Linked DNA regions of Oryza sativa Japonica Group. The protein of the gene in region 1 interacts with the protein of each later gene in a pairwise test. Links are inferred from orthologs where the notes say so. Each region holds a gene or a part of one and is shown in the gene's direction. Other genes may lie near its edges. The genes, in order: transcription factor MYC2-like, protein TIFY 10a, FHA domain-containing protein DDL and mediator of RNA polymerase II transcription subunit 25.

Region 1 (4,954 bases):
TATGAGTTAAATATGCGCCTAAATTTGCCCACGTCAGAATGTGGAATGGTGTAACTAATGACTTGTGATGGTGAAACAAATTAACAACCCCTATTAGATAATAGTACTAGTGTACTACAATGAAAATGAACTTTTACCACTCTTACATCGATCTCTTTAAGAGCATTTATGCGCCGTAATTCCTTTCCATCTTAGAGCAAGGAACAAGGATAATAGCGAGTTATAAGTCTACTATAATTTTACGTGAAGAAGGTATATAGAAAAAAAAAGGTTAGCTCTCATACAAGAGATAGTTCTAACACGTGCCCTAACACAAATACATTAAATGTATCATTGAGATAAAGACAAAGAGAAAAATTAAAGCTATAACCTTATAACTAATCTATTATATGTGTTGGTTTTAACTTTTAATATGGACTATTTTTTCCATTTCAAATTGATCATCATCTTACGTAGATGTACCAAGACCAAAGGAAGCTTCTCTCGTCCTATATTTACTCCAGTAACAAACTTGGTGTATGCATCATCCCCATTATTCTTAGATGCATAAATCAATATCCATTTACTCTAATGCACAAAAACGAATATACTTAATGAATGAATGCAAATATGATATCATTTAGAAATAACATCAATAAAATTATATGATGATCAATTTAAAACGGATGGAGTAACAGGTAGCAGTGAGTTATACTTATGAAACTTGCTCTTATGAAAATAACATTGCTGTCAGTCAATTGATCTTTTTTTTATGACAATAGTACAAAACTGCCCGCAAGTTAAGGAAGGGGAAAATAGCCTTAAGGCTTGAGTAACTCTTGATAATGATAGAATTCGTCTTAAACTTAACCATAGGACCGCATGAACCTTCTGGGAGAAGCACACGTGATTTTATATTTTTCTTCAAAGGAATACGATGTGATCCACAAAGTCCTAAAAAGATTTAGTAGTAGTATAAAACATTGTCAAAATTCGGATCGAGCGAAACATATGCTCCACCACTGCCTCCTAACATGTAATGTAAAATCTACAAAGATAAGGGATCGTAAAACACTTCCCACGAGAGGAAAGCAGGGAGAGAGAGCATGGTATGGAGGGGAGGACGCTGACATGTGGGATCGAGCGAGAGCGGAGGCTGATTACCCGGAGGGAGGTTACACAAACAGGAGATAGGAGGGTGGTTGCGGCGGCTAGGCGAGCGATCCCATAGGCCCAAGCCACCATGTGAGCGCACCGATGATCCGAAAATCGCTCTTTCAAATTCTATTTTTTAATATATATTTTTAGATTATCATTATTTTATAACTATTTTTACTATAAATTATACTAGATAAATTCATCCTAAAGATGTCAAAATCTTTTATAAATTTTTTTAAGATAATTATAAAAAAAATTTATTTAAAAAACCTTCTGTTTTTTTAAATAAAGGTCTATATATAAATTCACGATATACAAAATGCATGCAAACTTTCTATTTATAAACTTTATTATGTATAAATACTCGTTATTTCAGGGAGGCTGAAAAGAAAATTAGTATATACTGTACTTTATTATTTGCAGTATACAAATCGTGGAGGCTAATCACGGAATGATGCGCATATGCATGATTTGTGTGGAAACATGCATACCACACGTTGATAGCGAAAAATAGGAATTGCGGGCGATTTAACATGGTATGGCTAAAAAAAGGAAGATGAGTGAAGCGGTGATGGTGCGGCTGGCGGACGCGCGAATGATCGCTAATTAGGAGTGTAGACATAGGAGGAGTGATAATACCGAAAATACCCCTGGACACTAAATATGATTTGATTTGAGTGATTAGCCATGGGACCCATGTGGGTTTTGTTATCTCCTCTCCTCACCACCAAAAATCCATTCCACCCCATACCCATCCCCACCTTTCCTCTCCTCCTATTCTCTTCTTCTCTTGTAGGAGTCCTCTTCCAAATCAAATCAAATCTAGAAGAAGAAGAAATCGAGATCAAATCGATGAACCTTTGGACGGACGACAACGCGTCGATGATGGAGGCGTTCATGGCCTCCGCCGACCTCCCGGCCTTCCCGTGGGGGGCGGCCTCCACCCCGCCGCCGCCGCCGCCGCCGCCTCACCACCACCACCAACAGCAGCAGCAGCAGGTCCTGCCGCCGCCTGCAGCAGCTCCGGCGGCGGCGGCGTTCAACCAGGACACGCTGCAGCAGCGGCTGCAGTCGATCATCGAGGGGTCTCGGGAGACGTGGACGTACGCCATCTTCTGGCAGTCCTCCATCGACGTCTCCACCGGCGCCTCCCTCCTCGGCTGGGGCGACGGCTACTACAAGGGCTGCGACGACGACAAGCGCAAGCAGCGCTCCTCCACCCCCGCCGCCGCCGCCGAGCAGGAGCACCGCAAGCGCGTCCTCCGCGAGCTCAACTCCCTCATCGCCGGCGCAGGCGCCGCCCCCGACGAGGCCGTCGAGGAGGAGGTCACCGACACCGAGTGGTTCTTCCTCGTCTCCATGACCCAGTCCTTCCCCAACGGCCTCGGCCTCCCCGGCCAGGCCCTCTTCGCCGCCCAGCCCACCTGGATCGCCACCGGCTTGTCCTCCGCCCCCTGTGACCGCGCCAGGCAGGCCTACACCTTCGGCCTCCGCACCATGGTCTGCCTCCCCCTCGCCACCGGCGTCCTCGAGCTCGGCTCCACCGACGTCATCTTCCAGACCGGGGACAGCATCCCCAGGATCCGCGCCCTCTTCAACCTCAGCGCCGCCGCCGCCTCCTCCTGGCCCCCCCACCCCGACGCCGCCTCCGCCGATCCCTCCGTGCTCTGGCTCGCCGACGCGCCCCCCATGGACATGAAGGACTCCATCTCCGCCGCAGACATCTCCGTCTCCAAGCCACCACCCCCGCCGCCGCACCAGATCCAGCACTTCGAGAACGGGAGCACCAGCACGCTCACGGAGAATCCCAGCCCGTCGGTGCACGCGCCGACGCCCTCGCAGCCGGCCGCGCCGCCCCAGCGGCAGCAGCAGCAGCAGCAGAGCAGCCAGGCTCAGCAGGGCCCCTTCCGCCGGGAGCTCAACTTCTCCGACTTCGCGTCCAACGGCGGCGCCGCGGCCCCGCCTTTCTTCAAGCCCGAGACCGGCGAGATCCTAAACTTCGGCAACGACAGCAGCAGTGGCCGGAGGAATCCGTCGCCGGCGCCCCCGGCCGCCACCGCCAGCCTCACCACCGCGCCGGGGAGCCTGTTCTCGCAGCACACGCCGACGCTGACGGCGGCGGCGAACGACGCCAAGAGCAACAACCAGAAGAGGTCCATGGAGGCCACCTCCCGCGCCAGCAACACCAACAACCACCCGGCGGCGACGGCGAACGAGGGGATGCTGTCCTTCTCGTCGGCGCCGACGACGCGGCCGTCGACGGGGACGGGCGCCCCGGCCAAGTCGGAGTCGGACCACTCGGACCTGGAGGCGTCGGTGCGGGAGGTGGAGAGCAGCCGCGTGGTGGCGCCGCCGCCGGAGGCGGAGAAGCGGCCGCGGAAGCGCGGGCGGAAGCCGGCGAACGGGCGGGAGGAGCCGCTGAACCACGTGGAGGCGGAGCGGCAGCGGCGGGAGAAGCTCAACCAGCGCTTCTACGCGCTGCGCGCCGTGGTGCCCAACGTGTCCAAGATGGACAAGGCGTCGCTGCTGGGCGACGCCATCTCCTACATCAACGAGCTCCGGGGGAAGCTCACGGCGCTGGAGACGGACAAGGAGACGCTGCAGTCGCAGATGGAGTCGCTCAAGAAGGAGCGGGACGCGCGGCCGCCGGCGCCGTCGGGCGGCGGCGGAGACGGCGGGGCGCGGTGCCACGCGGTGGAGATCGAGGCCAAGATCCTTGGGCTGGAGGCCATGATCCGCGTGCAGTGCCACAAGCGGAACCACCCGGCGGCGCGGCTGATGACGGCGCTGCGGGAGCTGGACCTGGACGTGTACCATGCCAGCGTCTCCGTGGTCAAGGACCTCATGATCCAGCAGGTGGCCGTCAAGATGGCCAGCCGCGTCTACTCGCAGGACCAGCTCAACGCCGCGCTCTACACCCGCATCGCCGAGCCTGGCACCGCCGCCCGGTAACTCAACTCTAGCGAGGAAACCCAATCGATATACTCTCTACTCTCCCCAAGCCGGCGTAGCCATGGCCAGAGCTTCAGGAATGCCAAGAAGACGACGAGACGATGATCAAATCATGTTGTTGTTGTAAAATTAAGTTTAAAGATCTGTGTTAGGATGGATGGATGGATGGAGAGGATGATTGATATCAACTCGCAACTCAAGCTGAAGCTGCTGCTGCTGATCGTCGTCTTGTTTTTGATACTGATAGCAGCGGTTGGTATTTCTTTTCTTCCTTTCTTTGTTAGCAGGAAGGAAGGAAGGGAGGAAAGAAATCATCGGCGATATGTTGGTCCTTGTTAATTACTAAACCTAAATATGATAGACTTTGTATATAGGATTTGGTATTGTACCATCATCATGCCAATGAACAAGGGAGGAAGGAAGGAATACAACATGTTGTGGTGTTTTTGATCTCGTAAAAAAAATAAAAAATGCAATGGATATGCTCTTTTTTTGCTTGATCAATCAACTCTATTATCTCATCAGCACTTTAATGTTTAGCAACTGCAAGCAAGGAGATGAGGAGGAATGGTGGTTGGTTGGTTGGATGGATAGTTATTCATCCTGTTCATGTCCTGCCATAGCCCGTAATGATCCATCTCTTCTTCAACGGAGAGCAGCACGGAGAAGACGACCTGCACACACATGATGGGGACATGGTCTTGCAGCACATGTGAGTTGGGTGGGTAGATCTCGCCATCACAAACAGGCAGTAGCACAGTACGATTAGCGACCGAGGGAGAACTGAGAAGCAAGCAAAAAGCAAAGTAGGAGCTGCTCTTCTTGGCTTGGCAGCACAAAAACGAAACAGACCAAAACAAAGCTG
Region 2 (4,893 bases), on another chromosome or scaffold:
CACTTTTTTGAGTCAAAGACGTGTGGAGTCCAATTTGTTGGAAAAGAATCTTGACACAATTGTGCCTACAACCAAACAATTGCCAATATGGTCCAGCCCGGCTAACATTGGGCGTAACAAACTATGGCAAAGTGTTGCTGGTAACCAAACACCCCCCTCCCCCTCCCTAAATTGTACTCCCTCCATCCTAATATAAGTGCAATCTAGTATATGACATATTCTAATAATACGAATTTAGACAGCCCTTTCGTCCTAATATGAGTGCAACCTAGTACAAATATGACATATATTAGGATTACGAATCTGTGCAGACAATTGTTCAGATTCGTAGTATTAGGATATACCATATATGTACTAGGTTGCACTTATATTGGGTCGGAGAGAGTAAGTGCTAGTATTCCATTCATTTCATAATATAAGGCACAACTATTTTTTAGATGTTTCATAATATAAGGCATGCATGAATGCATGCCATTAACTAGCACATCTTTCGCACTATGATTTTTTTTTAAATCCTCCATCCTCAAAATCTTTAATCCTAGAGAGAATCTATTCTATACAATTGAGTTTGTTCGAGTTCAACGATTTACCATCGACATTGTCGATTTATATTATATACCAACGACTTTATCAATCGTTCATCAATACGCCATTGGGATATGTCTTCTTTTCAAAAGTACCCAAATTCCTCTTATGGACATATAAGATTAACAATTGATTTATCTCATTAGGAGTTTAAAAAATATAAAAAATTTTATGTGACCTCCTTGCATAACATGGAAATTTGTATAGAAGTTTCGAGTTTTTATATTTCTATTTTTTAAAAAATATAACTTATCTATTATATGCTATATAAAATACTTTTTATTGTTGTTTTAATATAAATCATCTTTCATACAATGCATAAGATATTTTTATGATATTATCTCTTGCGTAAGCAAATTCTCTATCATATACCACATAAAAATATTTTTTCTAAAATCTAAATATACCATAAAAAAATTTCAAACTTGTATACAAACTTCCATATTGTGTAAGGAGGCCACTACAAAGTTTTCATATTTTTTTAAAACTTTAGATGAGATAAATCAATTGTTAATCTTGTATGTTCGTAAGGGTATTTTGGATATATTTGAAAAGAAGGCCCAACCCAATGACATATTGTAGAAGAATTGATAAAGTTACTGGTATATTATAAAAAGAGATAATGTCGATGGCAAATCGTTGAACTCGAACAAACTTAATGGTATAGAATATATTCTCTTTTAATTCTATTGGTGCATACATTATAGTTATTTGGATGATCTAAACTATGAGATGATAATAGAGTCTTATATTCTTATATTTTAGAATGGAGACAGTATCTTGAGATGAGGAAGGAAGTACTACTCCATCCAAAAGAACGAATTCATAGCTACGAACCTGAACACATATATATATCCAGATTGGTAGGTAGGATTGGTTTTTTCTGGTACGGAAGGTTATGCATTTTAGGACGAAGGGCCCCACTCCTTTGTCGGCCACGTTGCATCCAATCAAACCTAACGTCACGGCATACCACACCGGCACACAGTAAACACAAACCAGGAAAAAGATAACGAGAGAATAGGAATCTGCGCACCTTGCCAATCTCCACAACAATCACGTGCTCAAACAAAGGCACCAACACCCAAACTAACTTTTTTTTTTCCCTCGCAACTTGCGATTACAAAAATCGAAACTTTTTCGTCTTAAAGATAATCCCCACCATTATTGTTATTGTTAGTCTCGTGCGTCCCTTATATAGAACCTGAACCGCCGGACGGAGGAGGAAGACAACTCAGAGACAGACAAGGACGAGCAACCCGCAACCGCGACCAGAGGAGAAGACTCGATCGAATCGAATCGAAGCGGGAGGATTTCGGGGGTCCGTGACTCCGTTCGGAGAAAAGGATTCAGCTTGTGGGCAGAAGAAGAAGAAGAAGATGGCTTCCGCGAAATCCGGGGAGAGGGGGAGCAGCAGCTTCGCCATGGCCTGCAGCCTGCTCAGCCGCTACGTCAGGCAGAACGGCGCAGCCGCCGGCGAGCTCGGCCTCGGCATCAGAGGTCACCTCCCTTTCTTTTTCTTTTTTTCCTTCTGCAAAGTCTGGATCTTTATCTTTACGGGTTTTGGGTGAAAAAAACCTCCCCTAGGAAGGTTTCCGTGAGATCTGGTCTAGTTCTTCGAGCTTTGGAAGCGAGAATTCCCCCATGTAGAATTTTATTCGGCTTAAACCAGTCTCAACCATTCCAATTCTGCGCATCTAGCTAGCTGTAAAATTCGCAACATTTTTTTTAAATCTGATGTTGTGAATCTGGGCTGAAAAACTATGTCATATCATTTTTCAGGTGAAGCCGATGCGAACAAGGGGAAGGAGACCATGGAGCTGTTCCCCCAGAATTCCGGGTTCGGCTCTGAAGCTGCTGCCGTGAAGGAGACCCCGGATGCGAGGTACTCAACACAATCTTTGTTCGAATTGCTTCAGCTATCAGTTCATACGGTTCCTTTAGCTGTAGTCACATGATAGGAGAAACCAATAGCAACAATCCAACCAAACAAAGTAGTGGTTGGTAGGTAGTGTGGAGGAGGAGGAGAACATCTTGCCTTGTCCTGACCAGATCTTAGTGCTGCCAGGAGCTGAGCTGGTCAGCTCTCGGGTCATGGTCTGAAATCTAATTCGTGTGTAAAATGGATATAATTTAGTTTAGAGTTCTAGGGATGGATTTCGGTGTGATGGAAAGGTTCGATATTTAATCCAATATAGAACTGGTGCTATGCAAGTCTGCAGTTCCTTCTTCTGTTTTTTGTGCGAGTCGTTTTTTGTGCGAGTCAACGATGTATGTCTCGCAACTAATAACCACGGGTTTCAGACTTAGTGGGCTCGCACGATCCGAAAGTGAAAATGTTCTGACTCGAGTGATTCATGAACAAAAAACCCAAATATTAGTTGGTACTTACTACAAGTTATTCTTCTGAACATATGCGTAGATGGCGGGTGCTTGCTGACCGATATCAGTTAGTAAATAGTTTCTGTTGTGTAAGCTTTAAAATTGGTTAAATGGTTGTGTTTGTCTAAGCTTTCTTGTATTTCCGTTGTCAGGGAGCAAGAGAAGCGCCAATTAACCATCTTCTACGGTGGGAAGGTCCTGGTGTTTGATGACTTCCCAGCTGAGAAGGCCAAGGACCTGATGCAGATGGCCAGCAAGAGTTCCTCCACAGCGCAGAACTGTGTCCTTCTTCCATCTTCCGCTACTGCAACCGTTGCCGACAACACTAAGGTGTCTGCTGTACCAGCCCCAGCAAGTGCACTTCCTGTTGCTCAGGCCAATGCCCCGAAACCTGTTCGTCCAAATGCTGCTGGTAACTACTCTAACCTCGGCTGTTATTGCTTGCTCTGAATGATGGAATATACTTGTAGCATGTGAATCCATTTTATTGTACTAACTGTTCTTCAAATCCTGCAGATCTGCCTCAGGCTAGGAAGGCGTCGCTTCACCGGTTCCTCGAGAAAAGAAAGGATCGGTAGGTTATGCTTGCTATCATGGCAGCACAAAGTATAGTCAAATTCTACAATTCACAATTCTAGATTTTGGATCTAACTTTTGCTGCTCCTTTATTTCAGCCTTCAGGCTAAAGCACCCTACCAGGGTTCCCCTTCAGATGCTTCTCCGGTCAAGAAGGAGCTGCAGGAGAGTCAGCCATGGCTTGGGTTAGGACCTCAGGTTGCCGCTCCCGACCTGAGCTTGCGGCAGGAATCGAGCCAATGAATCAATGCTCAATTCTGAGATGCCCCTCTCATCAGATGATTCAGTCATAGAGGTTATCACAACTCTTGAATTGGGTGTTTTGTGTTAGGAGATGATCCGATGACAAGGCGATGTTCTTCTGATATATATACTAGGATTGAATGTAAAGAAAGTAGCTGATGATTATGACCAGTAATCTGAATCAAATTGCTATGATAGAAAGCAGAAGATTCTGTAATCAGTACAACCCAAGAAACCTCATTTGTACCAATTCAATATCGTTTTGCTTTGGCATTGCCATGTAGAAGCAAAGCAAATGTACTGCTAATATATACACATCACAAGATTGATTGTTATTCACTTACGCCTGTTTCCCCCCCCCCCCCCCATTAACAGGATGCATCTCCTTTTGCTGTTTCCAACATGCATTCTTGTATGAATTTTGAAGCTCTATTCAGAAACTAGAATGTTATTTGGACATGCTGAGTAGTACTAGTGTACCATGATTTGCAAGCCTTTGCTTGGCCTCAGAGGTTAGAAGACAGACAGCTCAGAGAGAGAGAGAGAGAGAGAGAGAGAGAGAATTGTGGCTCTTGGCTCTTGCACGACCTGAAAACTTGATGGAGACGAGGCACGCACACACACACACTTGTGCATACTCCGTCCAACACAGGAAGAAAACGTGTTTTGACTCAGAGGCAGCATCTGCCACTTGCACAAATGAATAGAGAAAAAAAAAAGATAAAGATAAAGATAAAAGAAAAGGAGAAGAAAGTGATGTATAACGCGGCAACGGCAGGGCGTCCGGGGAACACGCAAAAATGCGCACGTCGCTCTCCGGCTACATTCAGCAGCAGCCCATGGTCGGAATTTTTTAAAAATTATTTTTTTGGGATGAAATGACTCTCCATTTTTTTTTCTCCAAGGGAAAAGAGAAAAAAAAATAAAATCATTTTGGTGACATTGAAGAAAAACTGCATGTTCTGCGCATTTTAAAACCGGGACCAAACCGGGTTCTGCCGGACAAACAGTGGACGATCCACGTACATTAGAGTAAAGCTCACGTTCGGAAATGAAGAATAGTAGTATTTTAACATGGCTCTTGCCTGAGACTACGGTTGCCTGAGA
Region 3 (4,799 bases), on another chromosome or scaffold:
CGTAGGCACCACGTCATCCAAAATCACCGAGGGACCTTGTTTGCCCGGTTTCGTAAGTTGGGGGATGGGTAGTACCCGGTTTTGCGGTCAAGGGACGAAAATCGGACGGGGCGACAAATAGAGGGACCCAAAGTGAACTTTTTCCTCTTCAAAATTATGGGGGTGGGAATAAGTTCATCTTAGGTCCCTTAACTTGTCAACGAATCCGATTTTCATCCTTCAACCATAAAACCAGGTACAATGGGTCCCTGAACTATCAAAACCGGTGCGGATTAGGTCCCTCGGCGGTTTCGATGGCGGTTTTGGCTGACGTGGCGTCTACGTGGCTAGTTTAACTCGGTCTTCATCTGATGTGGCATTGACGTGGCGCTTACGTGGCAATTTGATCCAGAAAAAAAATAAAACCTATGGGACCCACGTGTCAGTTTCACACAAAAGAATAAAAAACAATGGGACCCATGTGGGCCCCACATGTCAGGCTAACTCACCCCTTCCCATCTTCCTCCTCTCCCCAGCTCCCCTCTCTTCATCTCTCTTGCGCCAGATGCGGATGGGATGGGCACCAAAGGCGGCCGGGCTGGTCCTCGGCGGTGACGGAGGGCAGCACAGGCGCCTCCCCCCACTCGACCGCGCCGCTGCGGAGCTCCACCCGAACGGCGACGTAGGACACGGTCTCCAGCCGCGACGACGCGATGGTGAAGGGCGCGGCCAGGGGCACGTTCAGCGGCCGCGCCTCGGCCGCCACCACGTCAACGGAGAAAGTCTCCTTGAGGGCATCGGACCCGAACGCCTCCGCCGGCGCGGGCGGTGTCGGTGACGGCGAGACGGCGCGGAGGCGGGTAGCGCCGGCGGGTGGTTGCTGCCTGCTCACCCCCGCCGCCGGTGCCGGGCGATTGCAGCAAGGTAAAGGGAGGAGGAAGCTGCCGCTGGCAACAGGGAGGGACGGCGCAGTCGCTGGACCTCCTGCTGATCCAGTTCCTGATGCCCGACAACGACGCGTGCCGGCAGGCGGAGGAGCAGACCCGGCGGCTGGCGTGGGACCCGCAATTGGTGCCGGTGCTCGTGGATACAAAGCAGCGGTGGAGCTGGTGGTTCATGGCCGTTGCCCTCTCGATCTTCACGGCCTTCCATGTACGGTGAGGGGGCGCAGCAGCTCGTTGTCCAGCTCTCCGTCTTCTAGGCCATCGTCTGGCTCACACTGCTGCTGTTCGTGCTCGAGGTCAGGAAGGCCGCCATCGGGATGTACGTCGACGGCACCTCGTCCTCCGACGAGTCGTCGTCGACGACGACGACGCCGGCCAGCAAGGACGTCGAGGCCAGCGCCGGCGCCGCATCCACGGTCGTCGTCGTCGTCGCGGCGAGCGGCAAGCCGGAAGCAGAAGAGGAGGGGTGATTTTGACTGACATGTGGGGTCACGTGGACCCCGCCATTCTTTTATTAATTTGTGTGTGAAACTGATATTTAGGTCCCACGGAATTTATTATTTTTCCGGATCAAATTGCCACATCAGTGCCACGTCAGATCGTGATCGAGTCAAATTAGCCACGTAGGTGCCACGTCAGCCAAAACCACCATCGAAACCGCCGAGGGACCTAATATGCATCGGTTTTGATAGTTCAGGGACCCATAGTATCTGGTTTTACGGTTGAAGGACGAAAATCGGATTCCTTGACAAGTTAAGGGACCCTAGATGAACTTATTCCCTATGGGCCACCACAGAGTCTTCCATATGGGCCCTCATCTAACTGGGCCGCCGTCGCTTAGCAACTTGGGCTCTCTATTGGGCTTTCGCGGTCGTCTTGATATTGTACAGCCTTCCCGGACTCCGCCTCCGGTTCCGGATTGTTCTCTGAAGCCGAGCCCTCACAGAGAAGAAACCCTCGGTTCGCGGTCGCCGCTGGCCGGTCGCCACCGGCGATAACCTCGCCGCCGACGACTCCGCATCCGCTTCCGCCGCACCCGGTACGCTCCCCTTCCTCCCTCCCTCCCTCCCTCTTTTTTTTTTTGGCGGCTCCTCGGACTGAGGCCGCACAAAACCCTAGCGATTCCGCGATTTTTCTTCGTAGTGCTGTTCTGAATCGGTTTGGTTTGGGGGTGATGCTGCTCCAGGTGGGGAATGGCTTCGGCGGTGGAGCGGAGGGAGCATTCGCGGAGGTCGGGGCGCTCGAGGTCGCGCTCGCCGGCGAGGGACCGTGGCTCGCCGCCGCGCAGGCGGAGCCCGCCTGCTCGGAGGGAGAGGTCACCGGCTCCGAGGAGTCGCTCGCCTAGGAGGAGGTCTCCTGTTAAGACTACTAGCTCACATAGGGAGAGGTCGCCTGTTCGGAGGAATGGCTCACCTAGGAGGTCTCCTGTTAGGAGTATTGGGAGGTCGCCACAGAGAGATAGGGTGAAGGAGCAGGTCAGGTCGCCGAAACAAGCTCAGTCACGGTCACGGTCTCCGTCACCTGCCAGGAAACGGGAGTCTCGGTCGCCCTCACCACGGAGCAAACGATTGAGAAGGGCTCAGAGTGAGCGGGAAGGTGCAGATGCTACTGAGGGTGACCGTCGGAAGACCACCAGCAGGGAAGAGCGGGACTCGGGGAGGTACAGGGAGCGTGATGAGGGAAAGGATGTGTCAAGGGATAGAAAGACTGAGAGGGAGGATAGTAGGGGCTCTTTTAAGGACAGGAAACTGGATCATGATGATGATAGGGATCACTCAAGAGATAGAAGGTCTGATCGGTCGGGTGCTTCAAGGGAGACATGGTCAAGCCGAGATGATGAAAGGCGTGATTCAAGGGGTAGAAGGTCTGATGGGGATGATCGAAAAGTCAATTCCAGGGAGCAAAGGGCAGATCATGATGATAGAAGGGATTCTGCAAGAGAGAGAAGGGCAGACCGGGATGAGAGCAATGGTGAATCAGGGAGATCATCTAGGCGTGGGCGATCAGTGTCTCCAGAAGAGCATAGGCATAGGGGTAGACGTGAATCCCGCCAGTCACCGAGGTCATCTAGAAGTGCAGCACATGGTGAGGTGTGTAATGATATCTGACCCTTTTCTTATACATATCCACCTGTTAGTTGGCGTAGTGTGTTCTTTTGTTTCATGATTGTCCCTTGTTTCTGTTCTTTGTCTGATAACCTGCACCCAAATGAATAGAAGTGAAAAAAAATTACTACCTCCGTACTTGTAAAGGAAGTAGTTTAGGACAATGTTTAAGTCAAACCTTGGGAATATAAATCATGAATAACTCTCAAGTTGAGTTTGAAAATGTAAAAATTATACGAATAGATTTGTCTTGAAAAATACTTTTATAAAAGTATACATATATCACTTTTCATTAAATATTTTTATAGAAACAAGAAGTCAAAGTTATGTTTTGGAGACCGTGTCGCTGTCCAAAACGACTTCCTTTACGAGTACAGAGGGAGTACGCCTTGTTATCAGCATTGTTGACACTAAACTTGTGGGTCTGTATTCCATGTAAACCCTTCTTGCTTCAGAGTTCAGATTCTAGAGGATATAATTAGTTGCCCGCTATCCTTTTCATTTCATACCAATTTGGTTTCTTTTCATGTTTGCTATCATATATGGCCCGTTAGTTGCAACCTAAACTTTGTTTTGATTTATTTCAGGATACAAGCTCTGTAACAGATGCAGCGTCACGGTAAGCATGCAAAACTCTATATTCAATACGAATTGTAAATTTTTAGTAGAAGCATTGCTTGCAATTGTTTTCTTGTTGTATCAATGGGGCTACGCGTGTTATGGGTGTCATACCCTCTTGCTGGAATGGTTTTGAACTTTTGATGCATATCAGCATATCCGTTAAGCAACTGTAGCAGTAGTACCTAAAACAAACAAATGTATATTTGACCAGCTACATGAGCGCAATGTTTTTGTACCTGAAATTTTAGAACTGAAAATATTATATTTGATACTATTTTGGCCAGGAGTGTTGATCCTGATTCTTTGGTGAAGATGAATGCTACTGCAGAAGCTCTGGAAGCAAAAGAAAAGGTAGGGCATACTCCATGATGAAATTTAAAATAATAACAATCTTCCTTTTGTTGTGTACAGTTTATTTATATGATGCTTGCTGTTTTCGCAGATACAAAATACTTGCCATGTCAGCTTTCTTTTTATTTAACCTTTCTCTTCATTTGTCATACACTAGTATTTTAATAATTTCATTGGTGTTTTGCAGCAAAAACCATCATTTGAATTGTCTGGAAAGCTTGCTGAGGAGACTAACAGAGTTGCAGGTGCTGTTTTGAAGCCCTATATCTTTCTTTTTGGTCATGAACCTAAATGTTACACTTTACATTAATGTTTGTTTAACCACCAATGAGAATTTGTAATTCCTTGTTCTTTGCTGTATTGCATTGTCCTCAGAGTTTGCAATTTACTTCCATTTCAGGTGTAAATCTGTTGCATTCAGAACCTCCAGAGGCTCGCAAGTCAGATATTAGATGGAGACTCTACGTCTTCAAGGGTGGTGAACCACTCGAAGGTAGTTATTCTTGACTTGTTACTCTATATATGAAGCTAACTTTTTTCCTTTTGTCATGCTATCTGTTCGAGTTAATAGTTTTTAATAAATAGAAGAAAAAAACATTTTTTGGATTTGCCAGTCTGTAGAGGCATGTTCTTGTCTAGTTCAACAGCTGTTTCTCTATTTCCCTTCCCAACATGGCCAAACCAAAAGTAGGTTCTGTTAAAAGCAGTAAGCTTAACTGACTGTGATGAAGCGAGTATGGAACATAAAAACATTTTCGAACTAGCTTAATTTCGGAGAGTTTTGGAACGAACCATTTAA
Region 4 (4,822 bases), on another chromosome or scaffold:
GAAAGTAATACAATACCAAAGTAATATAAAGAAGAATATTCTAAATAAAGTACAAGTCTTATAAAAGAAGGAAAAGCTACTAGAGCCATACCCAAATTCTTCCGAAGACTCCGAGGACTGAAGATTCTATTCTATTTCTATTCCACTATACTCTAGAAACTATATTAAACTTGATAGATGAAATGAATTTCTTGCTTGTGGTGTGTCTTGAAATGGAGAGAGTGAGCTCCTTGTATAGCCTCCCAATGACGGTTGTGACGGTTGGAATGGTCGGAAATACCCTCCAACCGTCATTGGGAGCTAATCCATACCGTCTAGCCGCAACCCTGCATCCAACGGCGCCAGGATGGGTTCGGCCGAACCAGGGGCCGACCCATTTTCGGCTAGCGGCCTCGTCTTCTGTTGCTCACTTCAGACTTGTGAATTTTGGCCCAATTGGTCATGTCATTTTTGCATTCTTGACCTATTCATTGATAGGTCTGATTCTCGACATTGTCTGATTGAATGATCACTTGTTTTGATGTCGATTCTTCTCCACTTAGTGTTCATTCTCTGCAAGAGGTTAGTAATCCTAGTGCCAGTGGAATATTTATTATTTTGACATAAATATGCATTGCAAGCATAACTAGTTCTCTTTTATTTAAGTAGTGTTGACGGACGAAACTGATCACTAACGACCGTCAACAAATATAAATGTGTTTTAACAATATCCATATAAGTATATCGTTTATTTCGTACGAGTCTTTATATGAGTTCACTGGTTGGGACTTGATGTTTCGTGCAGAGGTTGATGATATTGCAGTCATTATATTTTGAATGTTGCATTTATCTGGAACATTTTTTTAGCGAATTGAAACAATTTTTTATAAGTGGTGAAACATCATTAATTTTTTTTATATGTGAGATCTTGTTTGTAAAGATTTGAATTACAAGAAATACAACGGTGCAATCATATTATAGATTGGATTAATAATTTAAGAGAAAAAACATTTAAAGTGTGTTAAGAAAAGCAAGATTTGTATGGAGAGATGAGAGATAGGGAATTATGGAATATTGCATGTAGCTGATATGAGGCAAGGAAGTAGTTGACATACATGCTGCATGCAACAAATATGTAGGGTGCAACACACGCAGAGATGAGGCAAGGAAATACTCCCTCCGTGGTTGCTATATTCTGAGACGGATGAAGTAGTTGACATGCATGATGCATGCAACGAATATGTAGAGAGCAGCACACGCAGGAGGTGCAGGAGGGGGGCACCCGATTTTTCTCTTGAAAATCGGGCACCCGATTCTTAGTTACTCCCTCCATTCCATAATATAAGGGATTTTGAGTTTTTATTTGCATTGTTTGACCACTCATCTTATTTAAAAAAATTGTGCAAATATAAAAAACGAAAAGTTGTGCTTAAAATACTTTGAATAATAAAGTAAGTCACACAAAAAATAAATAATAATTCCAAATTTTTTTAATAAGACGAGTGGTCAAACAGTGCAAATAAAAACTCAAAATCCCTTATATTATGGGACGGAGGGAGTACCTCCTAAAAATACCCTTAGTTTAGCCGAAAGGCTACACTCAAAACTAACCTGATGTATACTAAGAAAGTAATAAATGCTCACAATTCTTCCCAACTATAGAGTACCATTATTATTACATTTACTAAACACCATAAAAGAACAATACAACTCTTTTTTACACCAAAATTTCCCCATATTCCCCTATGGCCCCACCTGTCATCCACACAAAAGCCCACCTTTCTTCTTATGGGCCTTGGGGCCCATATAAATTAGACCCCAGTACCCCACCCCTTCGCCGTCATCTCTCTCTAACCTCACGAAACCTAACAAGAAGAAGAAGAAGAGAAATTCCGGCAAGGAAGGGAGGGAGGGAGAAGTCGTTGGTGCGGGGGAGATTGATTTCGCGGGAGGGAGGGGAGCTCGAGAGGCGGTGATTCGGGGAGTCGGCAGGGTGGCGCCGGGTGCGGCGGCGGCGGGGGCGGCCGTCGGGGGGATGGCGGCGGCGGCGGCCGAGAGGCAGCTGGTGGTGGCCGTGGAGGGGACGGCGGCGCTGGGGCCGTACTGGCCCGTCACCGTGGCGGACTACGTCGAGAAGATCGTGCGGTAATGCTGCGCCCGTGCTTTCCTCCCCCCGCCGCGCCACCCTGCTTTCTTGTTACTAGTTGACTGTACGGCCGTCGCGGATTAGTGCATCTTGGATTTCTTGATGTGGAAGAATTGGACCCTTTGTTGATTGTTTAGCTGTTTATTTTGAGACGAAGGGAGTACATGGAACGCGAAGCGGTAGCTAGTTAGTTCTTGATAGTGGAAGTTAGCAGCTATCCGTGTATGTGTTTGATATACACAGTTTTTTAGTTATATTAGTCGGATATATCGTTCACTCCAAGCATTAGTAGGAGATTTGGAGATTTGTTGTTTGCTCTCACCTTCTTAATTGCAAACATTAAATGGTACTAGTTAGCTTCAATTCTGTTTCACAATGCTTATTCAAAGAGTAAGAATGCAAGCGCATCATCGATGTGTGGAAATTCGTGGTTTCTTGATGAACTGGTTGGTTGTTGGCTATATGGTGTTGTGGCACGAGATACATCTTTTTTTGCTCCTGATTCGAGGAGACTTTGTATCACTGCATATGTGCAGATCTATGACAGAATGTAGCATAATTCATCTTCTACTTTGGGTTTTATGCCTTTTCTAGTTCCTCCTTGCTCATTCAGAAGTATTTTTCTTCAGTCTAGCATATTTTAGTGTTTTTTTTTTCATGAATGATGAATGATTCCCATGAAAACCAATTTCAGTTTTTGGCTGGTGATTTTACTACTCTTCTGTACAACCAGTAATGTAATGATGGGATGTCTGTTTGGTTATGGTTATGGCTTTTCTGAAGTCCTTGTTTTCACTCTTGTTAATTAGTTGATGTTCTGGTTTCGCATGGGTGTAATTGGAATATTCATCACATGAGTCAAATTTCTTGTGTTCAAGCCTTTCAAATAAAAAAAATAATGAAAGTGGGAGCTGTTTGTATTGTTGGTCAATAATCAGTTTGCTCTGAATTATTAGGGTTTGTTTGCAGTTGCTATCCTCCTGTGCTTATTATTTAGCTTCTGTGGAAACAGTTAAGAAAAACTTCGTAGTCTGTTTGAGAAATCAAATTAATGTTAGACGAATTCTGTTAGTCAATTTAAACTGTTATTTCTCTGACAAGTGTTCTGTTTTTAGAACTGAAATAATATCTCTATTTGCAACTTGATTAAAAGAGCAGCAGTTAGCCAAACATCAAAATTTCTATAAGCTACTGTACGGAACAGGATTATCATAGTCCACCTCAACGCAAAATCCAAATGGAGCCTTTGATGTTATGTGGTGATCCACCACAGCTTCACTCTCATATACTTACTATCATGAAACTTTTAAGCTCATCTCTTGCTAGAAATTTTTGTCAATTTCTGTAGCACTTAGTAACCTTTGCATTTTTAGTACTACTATTCATGAAGCATTTCAATTTATGCAGGAGTTTTTGTGCACATGAAATGGCAGGACAGGTAATTTGCTCTCAGTATTTATCGTCGGACTTACTACTTGATCCATGTTTCCTTGACTTGTGTCAAAACTCAAAAGTGTAAATTATTATCGTGTTATGCAGAAGCTCGCAGGGACACCCCCTGAACTTGCATTAGTCGTCTTCCATACCCATGGTCCTTATAGCGGTAAAGTTTGATATCCTCCATGCCCTAAGCTTTTTATTATGATCCATTGCAATTATTTGTATTTAGTTCTATATCAACAAAACATGTAAGCTATGATAATTCGCTTTTGATTCCTTGCAGCTTTTTGTGTGCAACGGAGTGGATGGACAAAAGATATGAATGTGTTTCTTTCATGGTTATCTGGAATATCATTTAGTGGTGGAGGCTTTAGTGAAGCTGCTATTTCTGAAGGTCTTGCTGAAGCATTGATGGTATTGACATATTGGCATCGTTCAGTTCTTTTCACTTTTTGCACATAATGACTTCCTCTGGTGTTTCCTGTACTTTTTTTTTTTGGTTCAAAATGCATAAATTAGAAACTGTGGCTTACTACTTCCAAAATTTCAGTACTGCATATGGTTGCCTACTTTTGAGTTCCCGTGCAAGGTTTTAGCATTTTGTTTGGCTTGTGCAATCATGCTTCATTTGGCATATGAAATGATGTTTCTTTTTTGCCAAATGGCACATCTTTCATGTTAACATCAACAGTAGCAACCTTTAGTTCCAGGCAAGTTGGGGTAGGCTAGAGATGAAACTGATGTGCAGCCACAAAAAAACTAAGGGAAGTATAGTACTAGTAATAACAATATAGTTAAAGAAGACGTGAATTAGGTCATGATTCTGGGCATGTGGACCGCCAATTTCCATGCAACTCTATCCAAAACCATAATTCATCTCCACAGGAACGACTGGGATTTTTATGATGGCTTACCAATGTTATCGCAACATTCTTCCTTTACTCAGCGTTAGGACCAGCTATGCTGAAGCAAAGGCAGAGTTTGGTATCTTATTAACAGAGATATTTTGATTTCCTAGATGAAGGGAAATACCTCTTTTCATCTCTCACTGCACCTGAATTTGGGTCCAGTTTTGTCTAAATTAGTTGATCTACAATTTTGTTTCTCATAGTAAGCCCTGTAAACTATTAGTTGAGCCTGGACATTATGTAGAACCATGATACTTAACAATACATGTTCTACCCAACCTTTTGGATTACTTTATTTTCCAAGAATTATAGCTTGTTGTCTTGGTATTGTTATTTCCAGTATTCTCTA

The links.
Region 2: the proteins of transcription factor MYC2-like (region 1) and protein TIFY 10a interact in binary tests that used the Arabidopsis thaliana proteins (3 or more experiments, as listed by UniProt). The link is inferred for Oryza sativa Japonica Group from reciprocal best matches to the Arabidopsis thaliana genes MYC2 and TIFY10B.
Region 3: the proteins of transcription factor MYC2-like (region 1) and FHA domain-containing protein DDL interact in binary tests that used the Arabidopsis thaliana proteins (3 or more experiments, as listed by UniProt). The link is inferred for Oryza sativa Japonica Group from reciprocal best matches to the Arabidopsis thaliana genes MYC2 and DDL.
Region 4: the proteins of transcription factor MYC2-like (region 1) and mediator of RNA polymerase II transcription subunit 25 interact in a two-hybrid assay, tested with the Arabidopsis thaliana proteins (2 studies listed by BioGRID, with this or other methods). The link is inferred for Oryza sativa Japonica Group from reciprocal best matches to the Arabidopsis thaliana genes MYC2 and PFT1.

Annotation. Positions count from the first base shown.
Region 1 is NC_089044.1:23,547,482-23,552,435, forward strand, and holds transcription factor MYC2-like, read left to right. Parts: upstream 1-1,874; 5' UTR 1,875-1,989; coding exon 1,990-4,089; 3' UTR 4,090-4,593; downstream 4,594-4,954.
Region 2 is NC_089037.1:16,853,164-16,858,056, reverse strand, and holds protein TIFY 10a, read left to right. Parts: upstream 1-1,738; 5' UTR 1,739-1,964; coding exon 1,965-2,085; intron 2,086-2,367; coding exon 2,368-2,470; intron 2,471-3,119; coding exon 3,120-3,379; intron 3,380-3,483; coding exon 3,484-3,541; intron 3,542-3,641; coding exon 3,642-3,786; 3' UTR 3,787-4,149; downstream 4,150-4,893. UniProt on the Arabidopsis thaliana protein: Repressor of jasmonate responses. Jasmonoyl-isoleucine (JA-Ile) specifically promotes COI1-TIFY10B/JAZ2 interaction. Activated by MYC2, MYC3 and MYC4 transcription factors.
Region 3 is NC_089039.1:27,209,954-27,214,752, forward strand, and holds the start of FHA domain-containing protein DDL, read left to right. Parts: upstream 1-1,833; 5' UTR 1,834-1,962; intron 1,963-2,109; 5' UTR 2,110-2,116; coding exon 2,117-3,013; intron 3,014-3,615; coding exon 3,616-3,647; intron 3,648-3,933; coding exon 3,934-4,000; intron 4,001-4,187; coding exon 4,188-4,245; intron 4,246-4,400; coding exon 4,401-4,493; intron 4,494-4,799. Other genes in the region: probable auxin efflux carrier component 5a, read left to right, coding at 982-1,136, 1,225-1,393. UniProt on the Arabidopsis thaliana protein: Involved in the microRNA (miRNA) and short interfering RNA (siRNA) biogenesis. May facilitate DCL1 to access or recognize primary miRNAs. Binds RNA non-specifically.
Region 4 is NC_089043.1:12,243,925-12,248,746, forward strand, and holds the start of mediator of RNA polymerase II transcription subunit 25, read left to right. Parts: upstream 1-1,818; 5' UTR 1,819-2,014; coding exon 2,015-2,124; intron 2,125-3,532; coding exon 3,533-3,563; intron 3,564-3,664; coding exon 3,665-3,728; intron 3,729-3,848; coding exon 3,849-3,979; intron 3,980-4,822. UniProt on the Arabidopsis thaliana protein: Component of the Mediator complex, a coactivator involved in the regulated transcription of nearly all RNA polymerase II-dependent genes.